Linked DNA regions of Cricetulus griseus. The protein of the gene in region 6 interacts with the protein of the main gene of each other region in a pairwise test. Links are inferred from orthologs where the notes say so. Each region holds a gene or a part of one and is shown on either strand. Other genes may lie near its edges. The genes, in order: doublesex- and mab-3-related transcription factor 3, Rbm17, Cchcr1, Dipk1b, Casp7 and Sat1.

Evidence for each region.
Region 1: the proteins of Sat1 (region 6) and doublesex- and mab-3-related transcription factor 3 interact in binary tests that used the Homo sapiens proteins (3 or more experiments, as listed by UniProt). The two-hybrid records come from large-scale screens. The link is inferred for Cricetulus griseus from reciprocal best matches to the Homo sapiens genes SAT1 and DMRT3.
Region 2: the proteins of Sat1 (region 6) and Rbm17 interact in binary tests that used the Homo sapiens proteins (3 or more experiments, as listed by UniProt). The two-hybrid records come from large-scale screens. The link is inferred for Cricetulus griseus from reciprocal best matches to the Homo sapiens genes SAT1 and RBM17.
Region 3: the proteins of Sat1 (region 6) and Cchcr1 interact in binary tests that used the Homo sapiens proteins (3 or more experiments, as listed by UniProt). The link is inferred for Cricetulus griseus from reciprocal best matches to the Homo sapiens genes SAT1 and CCHCR1.
Region 4: the proteins of Sat1 (region 6) and Dipk1b interact in binary tests that used the Homo sapiens proteins (3 or more experiments, as listed by UniProt). The two-hybrid records come from large-scale screens. The link is inferred for Cricetulus griseus from reciprocal best matches to the Homo sapiens genes SAT1 and DIPK1B.
Region 5: the proteins of Sat1 (region 6) and Casp7 interact in binary tests that used the Homo sapiens proteins (3 or more experiments, as listed by UniProt). The two-hybrid records come from large-scale screens. The link is inferred for Cricetulus griseus from reciprocal best matches to the Homo sapiens genes SAT1 and CASP7.

The regions. Positions count from the first base shown.
Region 1 is NC_048596.1:35,680,195-35,683,476, reverse strand, and holds the end of doublesex- and mab-3-related transcription factor 3, read left to right. Parts: intron 1-1,817; coding exon 1,818-2,782; downstream 2,783-3,282. UniProt on the Homo sapiens protein: Probable transcription factor that plays a role in configuring the spinal circuits controlling stride in vertebrates.
Region 2 is NC_048596.1:228,365,288-228,368,787, reverse strand, and holds part of Rbm17 (splicing factor 45), read left to right. Parts: intron 1-753; coding exon 754-851; intron 852-2,813; coding exon 2,814-2,870; intron 2,871-3,500. UniProt on the Homo sapiens protein: Splice factor that binds to the single-stranded 3'AG at the exon/intron border and promotes its utilization in the second catalytic step. Involved in the regulation of alternative splicing and the utilization of cryptic splice sites.
Region 3 is NW_023276806.1:229,456,600-229,460,824, forward strand, and holds the start of Cchcr1 (coiled-coil alpha-helical rod protein 1), read left to right. Parts: upstream 1-1,425; 5' UTR 1,426-1,440; coding exon 1,441-1,732; intron 1,733-1,738; exon of another isoform or gene 1,739-1,756; intron 1,757-2,283; exon of another isoform or gene 2,284-2,306; coding exon 2,307-2,458; intron 2,459-2,678; exon of another isoform or gene 2,679-2,743; coding exon 2,744-2,810; intron 2,811-3,026; coding exon 3,027-3,228; intron 3,229-4,225. Other genes in the region: Tcf19 (transcription factor 19), read right to left, coding at 368-605. UniProt on the Homo sapiens protein: May be a regulator of keratinocyte proliferation or differentiation.
Region 4 is NC_048599.1:138,019,608-138,023,623, reverse strand, and holds the start of Dipk1b (divergent protein kinase domain 1B), read right to left. Parts: upstream 2,801-4,016; coding exon 2,738-2,800; intron 1-2,737.
Region 5 is NC_048596.1:5,002,387-5,004,706, forward strand, and holds the end of Casp7 (caspase-7), read right to left. Parts: intron 2,034-2,320; coding exon 1,804-2,033; 3' UTR 501-1,803; downstream 1-500. UniProt on the Homo sapiens protein: Thiol protease involved in different programmed cell death processes, such as apoptosis, pyroptosis or granzyme-mediated programmed cell death, by proteolytically cleaving target proteins.
Region 6 is NC_048604.1:90,683,124-90,687,361, forward strand, and holds Sat1 (diamine acetyltransferase 1), read right to left. Parts: upstream 2,801-4,238; coding exon 2,735-2,800; intron 2,479-2,734; coding exon 2,427-2,478; intron 2,309-2,426; coding exon 2,225-2,308; intron 797-2,224; coding exon 695-796; intron 602-694; coding exon 561-601; intron 308-560; coding exon 137-307; downstream 1-136. UniProt on the Homo sapiens protein: Enzyme which catalyzes the acetylation of polyamines. Substrate specificity: norspermidine = spermidine >> spermine > N(1)-acetylspermine. This highly regulated enzyme allows a fine attenuation of the intracellular concentration of polyamines.

The DNA.
Region 1 (3,282 bases), on a different chromosome or scaffold from region 6:
AGGAGGGGTGCCTTCTAGAAGCTTCTTTGATGAAATTTCACCTCTGGCTATCTGCACACAATCAGGTTTGCCCACAGAGAGGCCTACAATGAGACTATTCAGGCCGGAAGAGAAAACACAGAGCCACAGTTTACAACCTGACTAGTGCCTACTGGGAGTGGTTTCTTCTCTTTTCTTTTTCAGATCAGTTACTCTGGATTAAGCACCCACAGCTAGCCTATTATTTCTTTAAAGGCTAAAAATCTATTTGTATGTAGTTTGCTAATAAAAAAAACTATGTTCTTTAATTTAGAGTTTCTGTTAGAATTTACTATGAAACCCAAAGTACTGTCACCCACTCCCTTTTGCCTATTTAGCACTGCAAAGCTTGCTCTCCTGGGTGCCGTCTTCAGGTTGTTAAAATGTCAAATTGGCAACTGATCTGTTTCATAAAAGGTTGTGAGATAGATGCAGCCAGAACAGAAGGCTTTGTGTGCCAGGATAATGTTTGCTGTTGTAAATCTGTAGGCTGCGCTTAACAACCCCTCTTGCTAGAATTAGCTCTGTTAAGGAAGTTCTTTGTCATCCTTCCCCCTTCAAATGGAATTTGGAATGTTGCATATAGGTCCTTTCCCGGGACTTTACTGGCACACTGGCTCACACATGGGCATCCAGGTACCCCTTGCCACACAAGGTGGGTAGACAGGGCTCCCTCTTCTGCTCCGAAACCTTCCAGCCATTTCTTTCTCCTCTCCATCTGTCCTGCCGTCCAGAATTAGAACTGGCTTTGTTTGGCCTTGAGTGCAAGGCCCAGGCAGCTGAGTTTGCCTGGCTCTTCAGTAGCTTTCTTTCTTTCTTTCTTCCTTCCTTTCTTTCTTTTTTTTTTTTCAAGTGATTTCAAGGGTTGTATTTTTCTTTGGCTTAGAAACTCTATCAACTTATCTACTCACTCATATGTGTATTTTAGACATAGAGTAAAGGATTACCAGCCTACAATCCACACTGCCAGAGATGCTAGTAAACAAGGAGGACCCTAAGAGAGACACACATGGTCCCCTGGAGAAGGGGAAAGGGACAAGATCGCCTGAGCAAATTGAGAGCTTGGGAAGAGGGGGGAGGGAGCTACGAGAATGAAAGGGAAGAAGAGGAAGGATGCAGAGGTCATGAGGGAGCAGAAAGGTTGAGTCAGGGGAAGAATAGAAGAAAGGGTAAGTGATAGGTAGGGGGCGTGTTAGGGGAGGATGAGAGGGAGAAGGGAACTGGGATTGTCATGTAAAACAATCTTGTTTCTAATTCAAATATAAAATGGTGAAAAACTCTATCAACTAGTATCAACATGGTAACCCGGTTAAAAGAAGAACTGTCAGAATTACAAGCCCTATTTATATTATATTATATATAAGTATATAATATAACATAAAACCAGCCCCGTGGGAGGCAGATGTGATTGTTAAAGTGCCCTGTGGGGTAGGTGGTGGTGTATTCCAGCTGATGATGGCTAGAGCTCCTCCTGTGGCCTTCTTTCATGGTTCTGAGGCCTTGTTCAGATCCTCACAGCCCCACTAAATGGGTCGCTAATGCTGTGTACTCCAAGCCTTCTGTGGTTGCTGGCATATGTGGCCATTCTGTGTTCAAGGCGAGCCTCCTCTCCTGCAGCATTCCAAGAAAACCCTGATTGCGCCATCTTTGACCGACCCCACTTGCCCACCCCATTTGATGGTTTTTGATTTCTTCTTTAAAGACCCAGCGAGCCAAACTTCCTCTTCCCAGAAGCCTAGTGCAGTTCGAAGCTGAGCACAGCAGGAAGGGATTAACCCAGCTGTTGTCTTGCCTTCCAGATCTGACTGAAGAGCGACTTGGGGACAGCAGTTCAGCAGACAACGCTGCTGCGGAGGCCTTCAGTGACAAAGACACCGACCAGAGGAGCTCCCCAGATGTGGTCAAAGGCAAGAACTGCTTCACTCCAGAGAGCCCCGAGATCGTGTCCGTGGATGAAGGGGGATACGCTGTGCAGAAAAACGGGGGTAACCCAGAAAGCTGCCCTGACAGCCCCAAGTACCACGCTGAGCAGAGCCACCTCCTGATCGAGGGTCCATCGGGGACCGTCTCTCTGCCCTTCAGTTTGAAAGCCAACCGGCCACCCCTGGAAGTGTTGAAGAAAATCTTCCCCAACCAGAAGCCCACTGTGCTGGAGCTCATTCTGAAAGGCTGCGGGGGCGACCTGGTCAGTGCGGTGGAGGTCCTGCTGTCCAGTCGGTCCTCGGCTGCTGGGGCGGAGCGGACGGCCGAAGAGAGCCTCGTGCTGCCCTCCAGCGGCCACATCTTTGAACACACGCTGGGCTCCTACCCCATCTCTTCCTCCAAGTGGTCGGTGGGCTCCGCCTTCCGAGTCCCTGACACCTTGCGCTTTTCGGCGGACTCCAGCAACGTGGTCCCCAACCCCTTGGCCGTGCCCTTGCAGCATCCTTTCCCCCAGCCACCCCGGTACCCATTGATGCTGAGGAATACTTTGGCCAGGAACCAGTCAAGCCCCTTTTTGCCCAACGATGTCACCCTGTGGAACACCATGACGCTGCAGCAGCAGTACCAGCTGAGGTCCCAGTATGTCAGCCCCTTCCCTAGTAACTCCACCAGTGTCTTCCGGAGCTCGCCTGTGCTCTCCTCCCGCACCACAGAGGACCCTCGGATCTCCATCCCCGATGATGGGTGTCCAATCGTGACAAAGCAGCCCATCTACACAGAGGATGACTATGACGAGAGATCCGACTCCTCGGACTCTAGAATACTCAACACATCATCCTAAAGTGTTACCTATGGGTGGTGACCAAGTGGCATTTTGTGTGTGCTGGACCCCCCCTCCACCCAGGAGAGTCCACTAATACTGTATTCTCTTTCCTCCTGTTTGACAAAGTGACTGTGCTTGATAGTCTATACATTAGCAATAAAAACATAACTTATTTAATTCCCTGCACTGGAGAATGCCAAATAGGTCTGCTCTGTGGATTTCGTGCTGAGTGTTATAGATGAGTCTAAAGCTAAGGACTGCCTAAGAAGGCTGGGCCTGGGGAGATTTAGTTGGAGGGTCAACTTTACTCCTAAATTCAACCTGGAATGTTAAGTGAAATAGTATACTTGAATGCAATTTTGTGAAAGGATTCCTCAGGATGCCGGAAACCTTAGGGAGTGGTCCGGTTGCAGTTGCTGACCAACTATGAACAGGGACATACTGCTCCAATTCAAAGAGAGACTGCACTTGGGGACAGAGCGGACTGTGCAGCCGCTTATTTAAGCCTGGACAATTTT
Region 2 (3,500 bases), on a different chromosome or scaffold from region 6:
TAAAGTGTAGACTTTGCATGAATTAGAAAAGTAACTTAGAAAACCCACTGGTAGCCAGGTGTGGTGGTACATGACTGTAATCCACCTACATAGTTTAAGACTAGCCAGGGCTACATGAGACTATCTGAAAACCAAAACACAATAGAAACCCATGTTGAAATTGTTAGCAGGGTTGTGACTGCCAGAATCACAACTACTTACAGTGTTTCAGTGTTATTCCTTTATTTTGGGGATTGGATTTTGGTTTTTCTAGATGGGGCTTGTCTGTGTAGCCCTCGCTGTCTTGGAACTCACTACGTATACCAGGCTGTCTTTGAGCTCAATGAGATCTGCCTGCCTGTGCCTCCTGAGTGCTGGCATTAGAGATGTGCCACCATACCTAGCGTCTTAAAATTTTTAGTTTTGTTAATTAATATGAATTCTATACTAATATGGTATTTCTCGTTTATTGGATGAGTGACTTTTATGAGTGATTTTGTAGCCTAGAAAATTGAAATCATTAAACTGTATATGCATATGCCTTAAAATAAAAAGTTAGATATAATTTTTTTCCTATGGATTATACTCCTGTATTGGTTAAACTTGTTCATTTTTTCTTTTGAATTCTTTTCCATCCCCAGCATATATACATAAATTGAAAATTTATTCTTAAAGAACATTTTTCTTTTGCCAAGAGAAAGTCATGATGACGTTTAAGCTTCATGTTCTGTACTAATTTGTCTGTGATAAACATTCATTACTTTGTTATTACAGGAGGCGTAAAGACAGGCATGAAGCCAGCGGGTTTTCTAGGCGACCAGACCCAGATTCTGATGAAGATGAAGATTATGAGCGAGAGCGGAGAAAAAGAAGTAAGGCATCAACAGAGATAAGCACACTTTAGACTCAGCACTATCCCAGGCATTGCTTTTTTTCATTTGAGACATGGTTTATTTCACTTTAGTTTGGGTAATTGCGTGGGGGTGGGGAGATCAGGGGGAGGTGCTCTATATTCCCACCAGTCCACATTCCATAGCAGCTTTGGTTTATACTGTTTTCATATATACCTTACTCTGAACTTCATAAACACTTTGAGACATTTGTTATATATTTTGAAAATAGCATTAGTTTTATTTCTCCACTTTAATTGAGGCATGGTCATCTCTTGTTTCTCAAGCCCAGTGCATTTCAGGTCAGCACTGGGTAGGGAGGGAAGACAACATATTCAGAGTACATTTGTCACTAGTTCAACTGGAGTTGAGAGTCCATCATGCTTCTTTGCATGTTCACCTGCCTCCTGAGGACAGGGAGATCAAAACCTGTACTGGGGACTTTGACCCAGTCTTCCTATTAACAGTTTGAGCAGAGGGTTAGTTGTGTCTAAAATCAATTCCTAGGAATTACAAGCAGTAGCTGATGGTACTTGAAAGAATACAATAATCTTTTGGCTTCATGGTGTGCTTGCCAGGACTTTAGTTGGCTGGTTTGGTTGACAGAATCCTTTGCTTGTTTCCTACCTAACAGGTACTACTTTAAGTGTCTCAGACCTTTACAGCTCGCAGCAGGTTCTGTTAGCTTCCAATGTGAGTCTTGGGGCTAAGTGCATTCTGGACATTATAGACCTGCTTTTGGTCTTGTCCTTGGTTTTATTTGCCAAAGCCCTCACTGTAATTTGTTGTCTTGAACATACAACCTAAGAGTTATGTGTCGTGGTAGTTGGTAGTTCTGTATATGTGGTTCTGTCAGATGGCAGGAATGGTCTTCCCAGCTATATGATGAAGCCTGTTATAGGGTAAAAATTTAAATTTTAAAAATATCTGCTAAGTGGAAAAGAATAAGTTACAATTTAAATATCTTAGTACTTAGATGTGCGAATTAAATGTTTTTGTATGGGTTTTTTTGTCATCGTTGGTTTTGTAGTTTGGTGGTGGAGTTGGTAATGGTGGTGTTTGAGACAGTCTTAATATGCACATAGCCCTGAAACTGTAGCCCAATCATACATTAAGCTCATTGCCATCCCCCTGGCCTCAGCTCCCTGAATGTTTAGATTACAGGCATGCACCACCATGGTTCCATTACTTTTCTTACTTAGAATAATGTTTATTGTTTATTGAATGCATCATGTCTGGTAGTGTTGCACCCTTGATATGCAATATCAATCATTATTTGGTTTTTATTAACATGTTTTCTGTCTTGAATACTTGTAAGCCTCATCTTCCCAGTCCATAAGGTAGCTAATATCTTTTTGTGACAGGTACTTTCTGTATATTAGAGACTTTCCCCCTTGAATAATAGCAGGGACTATGCAACTTCCAATAAAAAGCTTTGGGTATTGTCTACATTTTCTAATATATGTTTATTCTTTGAGAATTTCATACATTAATACAATGTATTTTGGTTATATCCACCCCTTACTCCTCCCAGTTTAACCCCTGCTTCCCTGCCTTCCTCCAACTTTGGTATGCTCTTCTTTAAAAACAAACAAACAAACAAACAAAATTGATCAAGTCCAATATCATATGCTGCCCACACACTTTTGTGTGTGCGGTCATCTAGTGACTTGTGGGCAACCTACCAGGAGTCATACTCTTAAGACAATCCCCAGAAACTGTCAGTTGTTAGTAGCTACTCAGTTAGGGCTTCGAGCTCCTGAGCCCCTTCTTTTTTACATTTTGATACCAGCTTTAGACCTGTAATTGTTTGTATGTTGCCATGAGGAAGGAGGTGGTTCTCTTTCTTGGAGAGCAGGGTGGTGATACAATAGATGGGCAAGTGCTGGATGGTAATTCTTGTAAGTGTATTGTCCTTTAATCCCAGTCCTTGTGTTTTCACAGGTATGGGAGGAGCTGCCATTGCCCCACCTACTTCTCTTGTAGAGAAAGACAAGGAGTGTATGTATACTTTTTTCTTCTTTTATTATCTTATTCTCATACAGGTATTTATGGACAGTGGATATCCTATATTTGAATCTCTAGTTTCCTGAGTTTAAAGCAAAACAACTTTGTTGAAGTCACAGTGGCCCTTACTGCCTGCTGCACTGGGATGCTTTGCTTTGTTTTGTTTTGCAACAGGGTCTCAACTGTGTGGTACTGGCTAGCCTGGAACTGTGTTGACCTGCCTCTGCCTTCTGAATGCCCTGTTGTGCACTTGGAATTTTTTAATACCAGGATCTGAGTGCAGATTTTTATACAGGAAGATAGATTGGTTTTTATTGTTTTCATCAAGATTTCATGTTTGTGTGAGGTTCATTTGAAGTTAATGAAAGCAATAGTTGCTCATGCCCATTACCCAGCATGGAGGACAAAGACAGGAAATACACAAATTCAAGGCCAGCCCATGCTGGATAGTGCGTTTCCAGGCTAGCTTGTGCTATAGAGTGAGACCTGTCTCAAAAGTCACAAATAGGTAACAGATTTTGTAACTCAGAGGTTTAGGGCCTGTTGTATTTTGTGACCTTTCACAAGGAGGCAGTGACTTTTCCCATTAATTTTTGTTACTGAGCAGTATTTGTCTACACAGTA
Region 3 (4,225 bases), on a different chromosome or scaffold from region 6:
AGCAACTGGATGGAAGAACTGTGGATGCCAGGCTTCTGAGGCTGCCTTGAGCTGGGAAGGAATGCCTAGGTCACTAGAACACCGCCTTAATGGGAACAAGGAGGTTCAGCAACCCTGGACACTTGAGTCAAGTGTGAGCATAGTGCTAGAATGTCCACTTTACTGATGACACCCCAGCGCCTCCCTCCTAGCCCTGTGTGAGCTAAAGCAGCCGGGCAGGTTAGTCCTGCACAGCTCTCATGGGCAGATCAAACCGGATCCTGCTTGTCTGCTCTACCAGAGATTGACAGGGACTCTGGGAGGCAGGTATGGAGTCCCAGAGGCTCCCCTACTCATGCCATCCTGGGGCTGCCTGCTCACCGCTTACCTTGACTGCTGTGGTCCTCCAGGCTGACCCGCCAGTCGTCCCCTTGGAGCTCAGCGTGCAGCAATGCATGGACCCCAGAGATGAGGCCCGGCTCCTGCTGGGGCCGCAGGGCCACATCACACAGGTCAGCCCTGCAGCCCAACCGATAGGTGCAGCCTGACCTGGACGGGGGGTGGAAGGTGTAGAGATCACCGCCCCTGCCGCCCCCTATGCGCAGCAGCTGGAAGCAGGGCAGCATGGGGGGGTGCTCCCCTCTGCACCGCTTCTCAGCAGTTCATCACCTCTCCTACTCCCAGGCCATGCACCGGGGGCTTCGGTTCAGTTGTCTGACGTCAGCAGCCCCACTGTGGGTAATGCCAACTTGAGAAACACAGATTTCCAAGAGCGCCAGAGGCCTGGACACGCATGCAACCGCTGTAGCTAGCGGCTGTCAAGATGAGACTTCAAAAGCAATTCCGGAGAAGCCCTTTCGCGATGCAAAACCAGGAAGACGTCCTGTGGGACCTCCGTGATGCCGGGTCCTCAGGCCGCAGAATATCCGGGGAGGCTGTAGCAATCTGTTCAAGGCAAAGCTACTTTAAGCGGCAGCTGGGGACACCCCAGCGGGGTGAGGAGGTCCCGCTACACGGACGTGCGTGCGACACGAACGTGTCCCCTCGAGTGTAAGCAGGAGCCGGGAGGGAAGCCTACAGGTCAAACTTCCTAATCCAGGTAGAGCACCCCTTCTGTCCTGCCCCGAGGGAAGGGAATCCGCTGTCACCCACAAAGGGCGGCGCAGACAGGTCCCTAACTCTGCAACAAGGTGGAGCTCACCCTCTCCTCTTGCGCTTGCGGGGTGCCCCGAAGAAGGACTCCACACCCTGTGCCCCTCGCTCCCGCTGCGGTTTGACAGCCAGGAAGCCGCCCTCCGGAGGGCGCGGCTCGGGCGGGCGAGCGGGCGAGCCGGCGGGCGCGCACCGCGCAGACTCCTCCTACGGAATTCCCGGGTCCAGCTTCGCGCCTGCGAGCCCGCGCCCCTCCCCAGGCTGTCTCTGATTGGCCATCTGACTCGCCCTCCTCCGCTGTACTGGACGATGCGCAGGGAGGGGCCGTCCATCTCCCGCCCTCCGCCGTTTCTGATTGGCCTGCAGGTTTCCCGGGTTCCCGGGATGGGGCGGGGCCGCCAGGGCGCGGAGAAGGCCTGGAGGAGTCAGTGTGCCTGCGTGCGCCGTTCTTCTTCCTTCCTCCTTCCGGCAGGCGGGGCGAGTTGGGGCTTTAGAGCATCCCGCCAACCCCACCCGCCGCGCGCATGCGTGCTCAGGGCGGGAAGCCTAGCGGGGAAGCCAGGGGCTAAGGGGCGTGGCAAGAAGGCGGACCTCGCGCTGGGTAAGGAGCGTTCGGCCGGAGTCGGTTGGTTGGGGGCGGAAAGGGGCCTGAGAGGGGGTGCTCAGGAGGGTGGAGGGGGTCCACAGGGCAGGAGGGGTGCAGGAGCCCGGTGAAAGAACAGATGAGGAGGTCGGGGCAGCCTTACAGCTCAGGGTCCTAGTGAGGGGGATGAGCCCGTGGGTGTGTGCAGGAGAGGAGAGGGCAGACCTGAGGACAGCGAGCGACCGGGACCATAACGTCAAGAAAAATGCAGAGTAGGACTAGGAAGAGAAGCGTGTAGGGATCTCGTTGAGTGGAAAACAAACAAACAAACAAAAAATTTGAGTTCGGACGGGAGTTGGACAAAGAAGATGCTGCAGGACTCTGAGCAGCGAAGGGCTTCGGGAATGGAAGCAGAGGGGATAGAGAGAAACTGAGGCCCGCTGCAGGGAGACTCCGATGAGATAACAGGAAGCTGGCTGCCTGGCAACGCGCTCCAGGCTGCTTGCATTCCCTGGGGATCCTAGGGAAGCCGCTTAACCCTACATGAGGCCCCATTCTTCTGGTGCCAGGCCTTGGGCTAACGCTTTTGTAGGAAATGACCCAGAAATCATGGCGCGGTGGTGCCTAGATGGGTTTCCCAACGTCCCTACCATACCATGGCGAGAACTGTGGAGACGGGGTTCACAACAGGCCCGCTCACCTCCAGACCAGAGCTACAGGGATCGTAGACACTTAAGGAGGAAGGTAAAGGCACCACTCACAATCCTGTAGTAGAAGCAAAATCCCCAAGAGCATCCCCTGGCCCCCATCTCGGTACATTTACCCCATGATTGTTGCCTGGTTCCTTTGTCAGGAGCGTGTGTTCGGGACAAGCAAGTCTGCCTTGTTAGGGAAGTAGGGAGAGAGAAGCTCAGAGCTGGGCAGATCTGTCAGTAACTGAAGGATTGTGGCTTTGTTATTATAGGACTTCCTCTTTGGAAGGTGGCCTGAAAACTGAACTGGAGTCTCCTTGTTTCTCCTACTGTCCAGGGGAACCTACACTCTTGCGGACAAGATCGAGAGGCTTCAGATAGAGTGGAGATGTTGTCTCCCTCAGGTCAGTAAGGCCAATCAAGGAGGCTGGGAAGTCTCTCTGTGTCTCTCTGCCTCTGTCTTTCTCCCTCTCTCCCTCCCTCTCCTCTCTTTCTCTCCCTCTCTCTCTCCTTCCCTTCCTCCCTCCCCCTCCCTCCCTCCCTCCCTCCCTCCCTCCCTCCGTCTTCCTCTCTCTCTCTGAGAAACTGACAGTCTTTACTCTTGTGACCCACCCCCTCAGGTTTTGCTGGACTGGTTCCTCCCTCCCACTTCCAAGCTCGGCCGAGAATGGCCCCGACCTGGGCTTCAGACATTCCCCAGTTCCAATCCACATTTGACCAAGATGTCCTAGAGAGGCGGCAGCTGGACTCTCAGAGGCCCACAGTGACCATGAGGGAACAGGATGTCTATGGAGATGGGCAGGGGCCAGGGCAGAGAGGCAGGTAGGGATCTGTCAATCACCTTTTTCTCAGACTTGCTAATGATCCTTTATACACACATTCCTTTATTTCAGCAGCCCTGGGTTCCATAACTTGTGTGGTTTTCTGTAGGCCATTGTTGGTACCTACACTGCATATACCATTATGCCCTGGAGAAAATCAAGAGAGAGGAGAGAGAGAGAGAGAGAGCGCGCGCTCTGGACTTAAATTCCCAATTAACAAGTGTTGCTAGAGTTTCTTTTCCTCCAGGTCCTGCCACCGCTTCAGCCCCAAATAAACACACAGACACTATATTAGTTATAAAACAGTTGGCCAATGGCTAGGGCTTCTTGGTGGCTAGCTCTCTCTTCATCATTAACCCACTTCTATAAATCTATGTATTTCCACGTGGTCTTGGCTTACCAGAAAATGCCCAGACCTGTTACTCCTTTGGCAGCTACATGGCATCTCCTCCCTGCATCTCTCCCAGGGTTCTCCCTGTCTCCCTGCCCCACCTATCTTCCTGCCTCTTTTGGCCAAACAGTGTTTTATTCATCAACCAATAAAAGAAACATATATACTGAAGGGCATCCCCCATCATCTCCTCTTTTCTGTCTAAATAAAAAGAAGGGTTTACTTTTACTTTAACATAGTAAAATTATATATAACAAAAACAGTTATCAAGTAAAAACATATAGTTAACAATAAAGAAGGAGTGTAAATGTCTGAGGGAGGAGATGGATTGCCCAGAAGCCATTGTGAAACGAAGTGACATGCTGGCTCTTAGTTAAAAGGGCCTTTCCCGGCATACACCACTGGAGCTGGCTATGCTCGGCATATGTGGTTTAAGATTTTATTTTTGAGCCGGGCATGGCCTGCCTTTAATCCCAGAGAGGCAGACAAGCAGGCAGATCTGAGTTCAAGGCCACTCCCTCCCTGGTCTACAGAGTGAATTCCCTGACAGCCAGGGCTACATAGAGAGAATCCTGTCTGGGGAAAAAAACAAAACAAAACAAAAAAG
Region 4 (4,016 bases), on a different chromosome or scaffold from region 6:
TAGAGGCAAACAGAAGAAGGTGAGTGTCAGGACAGGGTAGGCTGGGAACACAGAGTGCGGGTGAGAAGGTGAGCTCTCTGGGGACGGGCCATGCCAGTGGCTCCACAGCTGGTCTCAATGCACATACACCAGCTGTGGGCAGAGGTGGGCAGGATAGTGTAGTTCATGCTGTGGGCTTTTTGGTTTTTGTGTTTTGGAGGGGAGGGTTGTTGGTTTGGTTTGGTTTGGTTTGGTGAGTGGTTATTTGTTTGTTGAGACAGGGTTTCTCTGTGTAACAGCTCTGGCTGTCGTGGAACTCACTCTGTAGACCAGGATGGCCTAGAACTCACAGAGATCCCCCTCCTCTGCTTCCTAAGTGCTGGGATTAAACCACCCATCATGCTGTGTATTTTGCCACAATTTCTTTTTAAAAGCTGTGTGTGGCCAGGTGGTTGTGGCGCACACCTTTAATCCCAGTGCTGGGGAGGCAGAGGTGGGTGGATCTCTGTGAGTTCGACACCAGCCTGGTCTACAAGAGCTAGTTCCAGGACAGCCTCCAAAACTACACAGAGAAACCCTGCCTTGAAAAACAAAAACAACAAAACAAACATACAAACAAACAAAAAAAGCTGTGTGTGTAGTGGACACATTTCTGCTTCAGAAGAAACCAGCTCGGTTCCCAGCACCCACTCACAACCATCTGCAACTCCAGTTCCACAGGGTCCATTGCCTCCTTCTGACCTCCTCTGGCACACATGAATCACAATATACATGCAGGCAAAATATTCATTCACATAAACTAAGTCTTAAAAAATGTTTTAAGATGGAACCAGAAAACAAAAACAAAAACAGGCAGAGAGTCTACAACCCAAAACAAGGGTGGGCCTAAGACCTTCACTTCTGTGGTCCTCACTCCTCTGTCCTCATTTTCCCAGCTGACAGGTGAGAGCACTAGAGGGTGAGAAGAGGTCTGGTCTAGGTGCTCAGGACACTGGCTCCCACTAAGTACTCCAAACAGTGTCCAAAGTTGACAGCCAGAGACAGCTAGATGCCACCATCCTCCCCAGTGCCCAACTTGAGAAATGGCAGTCTCTTGCAGACAGCCTGTGCCACATATGGTTAAATGTCCCAATCTGAAGCTTAATGGCAAAGGAGAGTGAGAGGGCCAGACTTGTGGAGCAGCATCCCCAGAGGAGGGCTTCTACTAATGTCAAGTGCTTTCTGTGGCCTCCTGTTTACCGCTGCCAGAGAGTCTGAGAATGGAACCCGCCAGCATTCCACTTTTGGATCTGAGAGTCATGCTGAACTCAAATCTATACTCTTGCCCTAGCTCCCTCAGGTCAGAACAGAAAGGAACCTCCTTCACAAGAACAATGCCCAGCCCTTCTTAACGTTCTTCCAGGAGATGGTCCCTCTTCTGGCTCTATGGACCTCTCCTCCTGGGGCCCATTTGGTCCTGGCAATCAGCTGTTTCTTTCAGATTTGTTCAAAATGAAACATGAAGACTGAGAAACAGCAGGGGACACTGTTGCTGTGAGGCAAGATAAAGGACTTCAAGCTACACAAGAGCAAAGGGCTAGGACCTGAGCTAGCAGCTGACCCAGGCTGGACCAAGTAATATAGAACCAGAAGCCTGCTAGAAGTCTGCCAAGACAGGGTCCACACTCCAGGCAGGCCCCTCTCAGAACACCGGGCCTTGGCACAGGTGGCTCCACCAAAGCACTTTGGCTACTATGACCCAGGTTAGTTCTGATGGTCTACCTGGCCCTTTGTTAGACACATCTCTTCCCCTGGGCCCTTGAATCATTGCATATCTGCACCCCAGGGCAGGTGTCACCATGGTGGCTACTCAAAGCTTACATGGTCTTCTGCTACTCAGTGATGAACAGGCTGACAAGCCTTGGGCCCATATTTTGCAGGGATGAATAGTCCAGCACCAGAGAAGTCACTTGGGAGGTGGAGGGGGTCATTACAGGGATGGTAACTGCTCAGTGGCCTCCCTGCCTAGGAAGCCCACGCCATGTGCCAGGCGCCCTGGTGTTTCCTCAGTTTCCTGAAACAGGCTCAGGGCCGGTGAGGCTCAGCCAGTACTCTCCATGAGCCAGGCCAAACCCCTGTCACTGCTGAGTCAGGGCCTATCCTTCAGAACTAGGGGAATGGATACACCCCCATCTCCTGGCACAAGTAAGTTCCCCCAAAAACCTCAACTCACACCCAACCTGGGGCTGAGCATGGACCATAGTGCAAGCTAAGGCCCCTGGGAAAGGAGAGCAGACAAGGGCATCGGAGCCTGGAAGATCTCTACATCCAGTAGGCTTCAGTCTTCATCCTTTATCTAAAACCATCTAACGCAGGGCAGGCCCCGGGCCAAAGGTGCAGCATCCTCAGGTCGGCCCTGCAGAGAGGCCAGGGAGACCTGGGCAGGGCTGACAAGTGCTGGTTCCTTCTTGCAGGTTCTGAGGACCCTGGCAAGCAGAGGCTGGAGTCCAGAGGCCTGACCCCATCACCCCAAAGCATAAGCAGGGAGGGGGGGCGGGGGGGTCTCTTCTGCAGATAGAAGCTGGCCCTCACTGGCCCAAGGTCATCACAGTTCCTGGTTCCAGATAGCCAGAGGATGTCCCAAGTTTGCTACCCCAGAAAAACCAGCCTAATATCGAAGTAACGAAGGAGGGGCTTCGGGCACAACACGCCCACCGACCCACGCTATCCCACACCCAGCCCCTCCCCGTGTGGCTGCACCTGGCCTGCCGCCGCTTACCTGCAGGCCCTTGGAGAAGGGACAGAGGAGCACCAGGTGCACCAGGCGCCGCAGCCGCCGCATGGTGGGCGCCGTCCGGGGCTGTGGAACCCCGCGGCTGGCTCGGCCTCAGCCCAGGCCCGGCCAGGCCCGCAGCGGCCGCCGCTCGCACGCCATACGGGCCGCGCGCCTTCGGCCCGCGTTAAAAGCGAGGCGCGCGCCTTTCTGACGGCCGACCGCGACGCGCACGCGGGGAGACAGCAGAGAGGAAGGGCGTGCATGCGCGGGGAAACGGATGGGAGGGGGCGTGCACGCGCGCGCGCGGAGGCAATTGGGAAGGGCGTGCACGCGCGCGGGGGACCGGCGCAAGGCCCCTGGTCCAGTCTCGCCCTCCTGCAGGGGGGACCTCGCCCCTGCAGGCTCCGCGACCAGCTAAGGCGACCCGGACAGAGATTGGAGCGCAGGGGGAGGGCTGGCGCCGAAGACCTGAGGGGCCCCGGCCTGCGCTTGCGCTTTTCTTACACCTTTTCAAGGGTAAAAGACGAGGGATCTGTCCCCAGCCCTCCCGTGTTTGCACGTGAGATCAGTAGTGAGGCCACGGCCGCTGTATGGCACCGAGCGTCTGCAGCCATGGCTGCACCGAGGCGTGGGGAAGGACCCACAGCCCCAGCGGTCAGCAACTGCTCCTGAGAGCCAGTCTTTGATTTCTACGCACCGACAGACGCGCCCTGTCATGTGATTCCTATTTAGGGTGTTAGGGAGGCAGCAGCTGATCCCGGGGTAAAGGTTTGTTGAACTTAACAGACGATATCCAGAATGCCCGCTGCACCATCCCCCATGCGCACCAGCTGCCCTGAATCCTCATCCACACCTTTGGTGGGGCTTCTATGGCATTGTCGTTTGCATTCAAGGGAATACGGAGGCTGAAGGCCTTCCCATGTGCTCCAGTTCTTCCCATATACATCCTATGCAAAATGGTGTTAAAAGACAGCTTTAGTTTAAGGATTGTAATTACTTCGCAATTACTGGACCAGGCCAATTTTCTTTTCATAAAGTGGAGCAAGTGTCCCATGAGCCCTGCTGAAGGGGTTGGATTTATAGCCTAGAAAGGCTGAAGAAAGCTGGAGCCAAGAGCAGGTCACAAAATAAGAAAAAATAACACCAGGTCTGTATCCCAGAACACAAGAAGAAGAAACAAGGATCAAAGTAAATTCAAGACTATGTTTCAAGTTCCAGACTAGCCAGATACAAAGGGAGACCCTGTATCAAGGAAGGAAAGAAGGGGAGGAAGGAGAAAGAA
Region 5 (2,320 bases), on a different chromosome or scaffold from region 6:
GCCTTTACCCCAAGTCCACTGTGCTTAGCATCTTTGTTTCTACATTATCCCACTTTGCTTACAAAGCCCATGGATTCTGGCAGTAAAAGGGCAGATGTTAGAGTCATGGTCTCTACTTAAACTGTGACCATCTGGTAGAGTTTTGATGGCAGGGACCAGCAGCAAGTCCAACAAACTGGCCTTAAGTGATTTTCTTAGTGGGAAGTCTACTTTTACAACACTGATTTTTCTTCCCAAATTAACAGGAGGGAGGCCATCCCAAACCGCGTTACAGGTTAATTAACCCTTTTTATGAAACATTTGACTTCTAAGTGATTAACATACTTATAGTGCTCTAGCTTCAGAATAAATAATGTTTGTGCTTTGTATGGAGACACAGGCAGCAGGGCCATTCTCACCTGGTTTCCTAATTTGTTGTCATCTTCTCTTATTTTCTTTTATGTTCTCTAAGTTCTCACTGCCCTAGATAACTTTATGAAGAAAGCAGCCTGGGCCAGTGAGGAGTTACTAAACCACATTTTAATCAATAAATAGGAACATTTGTTAACCATTTATTAGGTGGAAAAAAATAGGAACGTATAGCGAATTCCAAAGAAAACGACACCTTGAAAAGGAAGTGCCAAGATCTTTACCCTAAGTATCATTCATAGAATCAGAGGTAACAAAATATTATTTAGGAAAAAAAAACAACTTGGAATATTTGAAAGAATTCCAGATGTGTCTGAAATAAAAAACCACTATTTTGCACATGAAGTAGAAACAGATTGTTCTTCAGCACCTGTGTGGATGGTCTGACAAACCGATGAACAGAAGAACTGCGGCGTACAAAACTGTTATTTAAGTTCACATTATGGGCCAAGTTCACACCCCCCACTCCCTGGCTCAACAGCTCTTGCTCTGATCTGATTCCCAGGGAATCTCCATCCCCAGGGCCCTCATCAGCTGCTTTCAGGTACCTTGAATGTTGAGGTGTTGGTGAGGGTATGAGGACAAGCCTGGGGAGGCCTTGGTATCTGACTCAGCTCCCGCTTGGTTTCTATCTCAGACAGTAGCTTTTGTCCTTGGTGTGGCTCCATTTACCACAACTCTCCATGGTCCTAGCTCCTGGGGGCAGCGCTACCAGTTCTTACTGATGACCAGGGAACCAGCCTCCTCTTACAGCCTCCCAGTCACACCTGAGGTAAGAGATTTCAACTGCTTGGCTCTTTTTCTTAATTACCCACTTAAGTGAGCTCCCTGTATTGACCCTTCTCCATCGGAACACCGAAAATGGCTTGTTTTCTGGACCAGATCCTGCATACTAAAATACTATTTCCTCACTTCCCTGGGAAGGTCTGCTTAAGAATCTGTCCGAAGCCAATGAAAACAACCGCTCTACAAAACAGCCACCTTTTCCAGGCAGGAGAGGCAATGAGTGTCTTGGCTATGCTTGTTTGTCAAGAACTGGAATTCTCTTTGCCAAGTCAAACTAAGACTGACTTTCCATTAATGCCACCACCAAGAAGTCTTCTCCAGAGGTCATTTTCATAGCACACACTCATGTGATGACCAGGTAAAGGAACTCTGAACAGAAAATTAACCTTAAAAGGAAAGAACAAAGCCATCCAATGAACAAAATTATTAAAAAAAAACTCTAGGAATGCAGAATATCAGACATTGCCAATCAACTTCCTCCCTGCTCAATCAATACACAAATCTCTTTAACATTCCCGGGTATTTTGAGAGCATCAAAACAATTAAAATAGAATAACAACTGGACTCATGGATGAGTGCCTGCAGGCTCTCAGCTGGAAGGGAGGGATGTCAACGGCCAAAGTAGAGCTCTTTGGTGAGCATGGAGACCATACATGGGATCTGCTTCTTCTCGTTGAAGCAGGGATCATCACACTGGGACTCGAAGTGCCTGGCCACCCTGTCGTTCACTCTGGTCAGGATCTGCATGATCTCCAGGTCTTTGCCATGCTCGTCCAGGATGGAACAGAGGGCCTGCACAAACCAGGAGCCTTTTCCTGGGTTCCTCCATGAGTAATAGCCTTCACGGGGGGGGGGGGGGGGTTTGAAGAGAGAGAGAGAGAGAGAGAGAGAGAGAGAGAGGATCCATTAGCCAACCTTGCAAGCTACATCACCCCCTGGGAAGAATGGACTCTCAGCATTGTGGGGCCTGGGTGTCCATTTGGACATAATCTTCCTTTCGTCTGCACTAAGGCGCCAATGAGACGGCTATTTTGAGAGCGAGCATCAGGGTGTGAAGATGCTCAAGAATCTTTGGGTTTTCCAGCACGGAAACCAGTGACAGACATGTGACTAAGGGCCCATGATG
Region 6 (4,238 bases):
AACAACGCCACTGGTAATAAAGCTTTGGAATTGGTGTTCATGCTATTATTTCACTACAAACAAGATAGAGAGCAAGATAAGTTGAGAATTTATTCTAAAGTATAATGGAGGTTGTCATTGTCTACAAAGGCACTCCTTACTCCTCTGCTGCCATTTTTAGCAAGTACTCTTTGTCAATCTTGAAGAGCCTCCATCCCTCTTCACTGGACAGGTCAGAAGCACCTCTTCGTTTGTAGAAGTTGATAGATGGTTCATTCCATTCTGCTACCAAGAAGTGCATACTGCTGCAGCGACACTTCATGGCAACCTAGTACAAGAGAGAAAACATAAGCCCAGTGACATTTCACCCGCTTGCCAAGACCCAATTTTGATTCATTCATTACAATAACCCAATAACTCTTACAAATTCAGAAGCCTAAATCTAGGACACCTGGGTGTATGTGATGGGCCACAACTATGATCCCAGCACTAGGGAGGTGGAGACAAGCTTGAGGCCAGCCAGGGCTACATATTAATACTAGGCCAGTCTGGGATATACAAAGAAATGCTAGTGAACATACCTGGCTTAGATTCTTCAAAATTTCTGATCCTATGCCAAACCCTAAAAGAAAGCAATACAATTTAGCTTAGTCATTTTAAGGCCAAAGGCTCTGATTTCTCTTTAAACTGCCTCCAATCCCAAATTCAATTGTACCTCTGTAATCACTCATCACAAAGAAGTCTTCAAGATAAAGTAACTTGCCAATCCATGGGTCATAGGTAAAATAGTACATGGCGAAACCAACAATGCTGTGTCCTGTAATAAGAGTATCCCATGAGATACAGAGAAAAAAAGCAAACCATTCAAGCTGTATTGGCAGAAACAGAAGCCTATCATAGATTGTAAGAAAATACACGTGCATGCATCATGGAAACAAGTAGTCATGAACTGGACTGCCTCCTCATGTTTATGCTAGTACAGTGCAGACCGATGATGGACGATCTCTCTGGTCTCAGACATGTATTTGCAAAAAGCACACATTAGAGCTAGCTGAAGCTAGGCTACACCTGTGGACTGGCTAGTCTGCAGTCTGCTGGACTCACACTCAGGAAATGAGAACACTTTCATTACTTGCCAGAGCAAAATTGCCACAGACTTAAACTAAACACACACATTATTCACATCCTGATGACATACTGGTATGTCAGCTTGGCAAAAGTTGGGTTTACACAGCAGTTTAGAAGAGGAAATATTTGTAGTTTACCAACTCTTGCTTCCTTAAGGTCAGAACACCAGGCCAAAAGTACTATGTTTACTTTCAGAACTTGTCTTCCCATGCATAAATTTTCAATTTACTTTCCCAAGTTTTTAAGGCAGGAGAAGTAGCAGTAACAAGAATCCAGTGTTACGTAACACCCACTTACTTCTAAAAGCCAGCTTATCCCTTGGGTGTTCTTATTACATTCTAGCCTCGGGAACAGACGTCAGAAGAAAATTGAAGAAATCATCCACCCAAGCAACTTCCCCTTTTAGCCCTCTTCTGACCAGTCAACAAGGGTCAGCAAAAAAGAAATACATAAATAAAAATAAAAATAAAACCAATTCAAAATTGACTCCCTCAAAAGGAGTGTCAACTCAATTCCAAACGGAGGCAATGGTTGCAAATTAAACTTTCTAGCCATTTTCTATTTCTTTGCAAACAGACAGGAAGCGAATATAAGTTTCTGATCTACCATGTTTTAAGTGTGCGATAATAGGACCTTACCTCATTTATCATGATCATCTACTTTATTGTGTAAAGGATCTTTTAGTTACCTCCCCGCCCATCCATGTACACAGAAGGGCCATGTACATGGCGAAGCTAGAGACTGTAACCTGAGGATTGGGACAAATTAAAGAAAAAAATGTGATTTAACACAATTACAAAAAAAAAAAAGATTAGGTTAGGGTCAAACAAAAACCATTTTTATGAAACTGAATTACAACAAATGACATTATACCTAACTCTTCCGGGTTTCCACAGCACTCTGATACTTGCTTAAACAGCTCTCTTAACCCGCCCTATTATAAAGTACTGCACATACATTTTCTTTTTCCTCAGTCATTTGCACACTGGCTGGCTGTTATTTCTGACCAGCTTCTCAGTAACTTCTGCCCGTGTAGTTACAGGTTCTGTACAGTAGACTCTACGGTTTTGATACAACACTCGTTCTCTCTGGCTTCTGGACAGGAAGAAGGGGTTACCTTCAGGGGTCCAGTGCTCTTTAGGCACTTCTGCAATCAGGCAGTGGTAGAAGGGGTGTTCTCCAAAACCATCCTCTAGGAGATCTGTAAAATGGGGGAGGAGGAGACAGTGTTGACTTTTGTAGGTGTCAGGTAACAGCTTGTTGCCTCCCTGAGGCCCCACTCTCCCCACTTCACCTCCCCCCCGCCACGACTTCGTTACCTTTCTCGGTTAACATTACTTGATCTTCCATGTATTCATATTTAGCCAGTTCCTGGGAATGATACATATAAAAGAAAGGACAATGAAAGTCCTGTCCAGCCCTGCCAGCTCACAGAAGGGGAAATGGGGTAGGCGGGGTCCGGTGGTGACTGGCATGGAACTTCTGGACCTGACCCGGGCTGGGGTTGGCGGGCTGAGAAAAGGGAATTATTGACTGGGCAACATCTCAGAACCGAAGATATCAACTCCCCGAGGAAACGGAACCTCCCTCACCCTCCGCCCTAAGGAGAGCCGGGCCTTTTCCCTACCTTGATCAGTCGCAGGATGTCACTGCAGTCAGAGGCAGTGGCTGGACGGATCTTGAATTTAGCCATTTTCGTCTTTTGCTTTTCTTCCCTTTGCGCACCAGGCCCCTGTACTTGAACAGCAGGAGGAGGTGGTTCCTCATTCGTCTCCCGGGAGCGTCCTCTTCTCAGTCAGGCTGGCACCATGACCCGGCGAACCTCAGTGTTAGACAGAAAACTGGGAGAGTTGCTTTGGGAAGCTGCGCAGCTAAGTTGTGGCAAGACCTTGCCTTTTAAGTCCGCTGGAGCTCCTCCTCGGGACCGTGAGATGGAGCGATCACAACCAGTAAGGCTGCGAGCCCGCGGGAGCACCTCCCTCTTCCGGGCTCTCTCGTGACCCTGAAACCGATGGCGCAAACCGGGAGGGCGGGACAGGGCGAGGTGCGCCACTGCGCTATCAAGGCCTTGCGTCCCCTAGCGGCGCCTCAGGGATCCTTCCAGGAAGCCTATGAGTGAGTGCCCGAGTGTGCCCTAGTAACCTCTGTAAATAGAAAATGCGGATTGCCCCTGTGACCCCCGGACATTGCTGAGAAAAGCAAACTCAGAAAGCCTGACTTTTGAGGATGACAGAAAGATTATTCTAGCCATTTTCAAAGTGTGATCGGGAGGTGTAATTTTTTCCCCTTTTGTTGTAATTTTCCACAGGCAGTTCATTGCTATGTGGTGATGTCATCGTTTTCATGACTAAAGGAATGTGTGTGTATTTGCATTTTTGTTTTGTTTTTGAGACAGGGTCTCTCTGTGTTGCCTTGGCTGTCCTGAAACTCTCTATGTACAACAGGCTGTCCTAGAATTCACAGCTCACAGAGATCTGCCTGCTTCTGCCTCCCCAGTGTGAGGATTAAAGCATGCACCACCATGTCCTGATCTTCTTGTATTTTCTCTAATTCCCTAAGATCAAATCTTAGGATTCCTTAATTTCTTTCCTTCTAGTTCGGCAGTTTTCAAACTGTGGGTCACAATCCTTGGGGGTCGCACAACCCTTTTACAAGGGTCACCTAAGAACACAAATATTTACATTACAATTCATAACAGCTAAATTACAGATATGAAGTAGCAATGACATAATTTTATGTCTGGGGACGACCACACATGAAGAACTGCATTAAAATGTCGCAGCATTAGGAAGATTGAGAACCAGTGTCCAATGACTAAAGTTGTAAAGTATTTTCTTTTTACTTCCCCCTCCTTATTTCCTTCTTAAACCTCTGTTCATTCCTGTGGACTTTCCTTCTGACTGAGGGATGTACTTCCTAATTTCCTTTAATGAAGGTTTGATTTTGTAAAAATATCTCAGTTTTGCATATTGTGTATGTCAGCTTACATTGTTGAAGGATTTATGTCACTGCTTATAGATTTTGAGGTCTGGAAGTTTTCTTTCAGCACGCCGATATCTGATCATCTCCTGCCTTCCTTTGCTGTTGTAACCCTTACTTGCTCTAGTTCATGTGTTTCTCTTGTTTCCTTT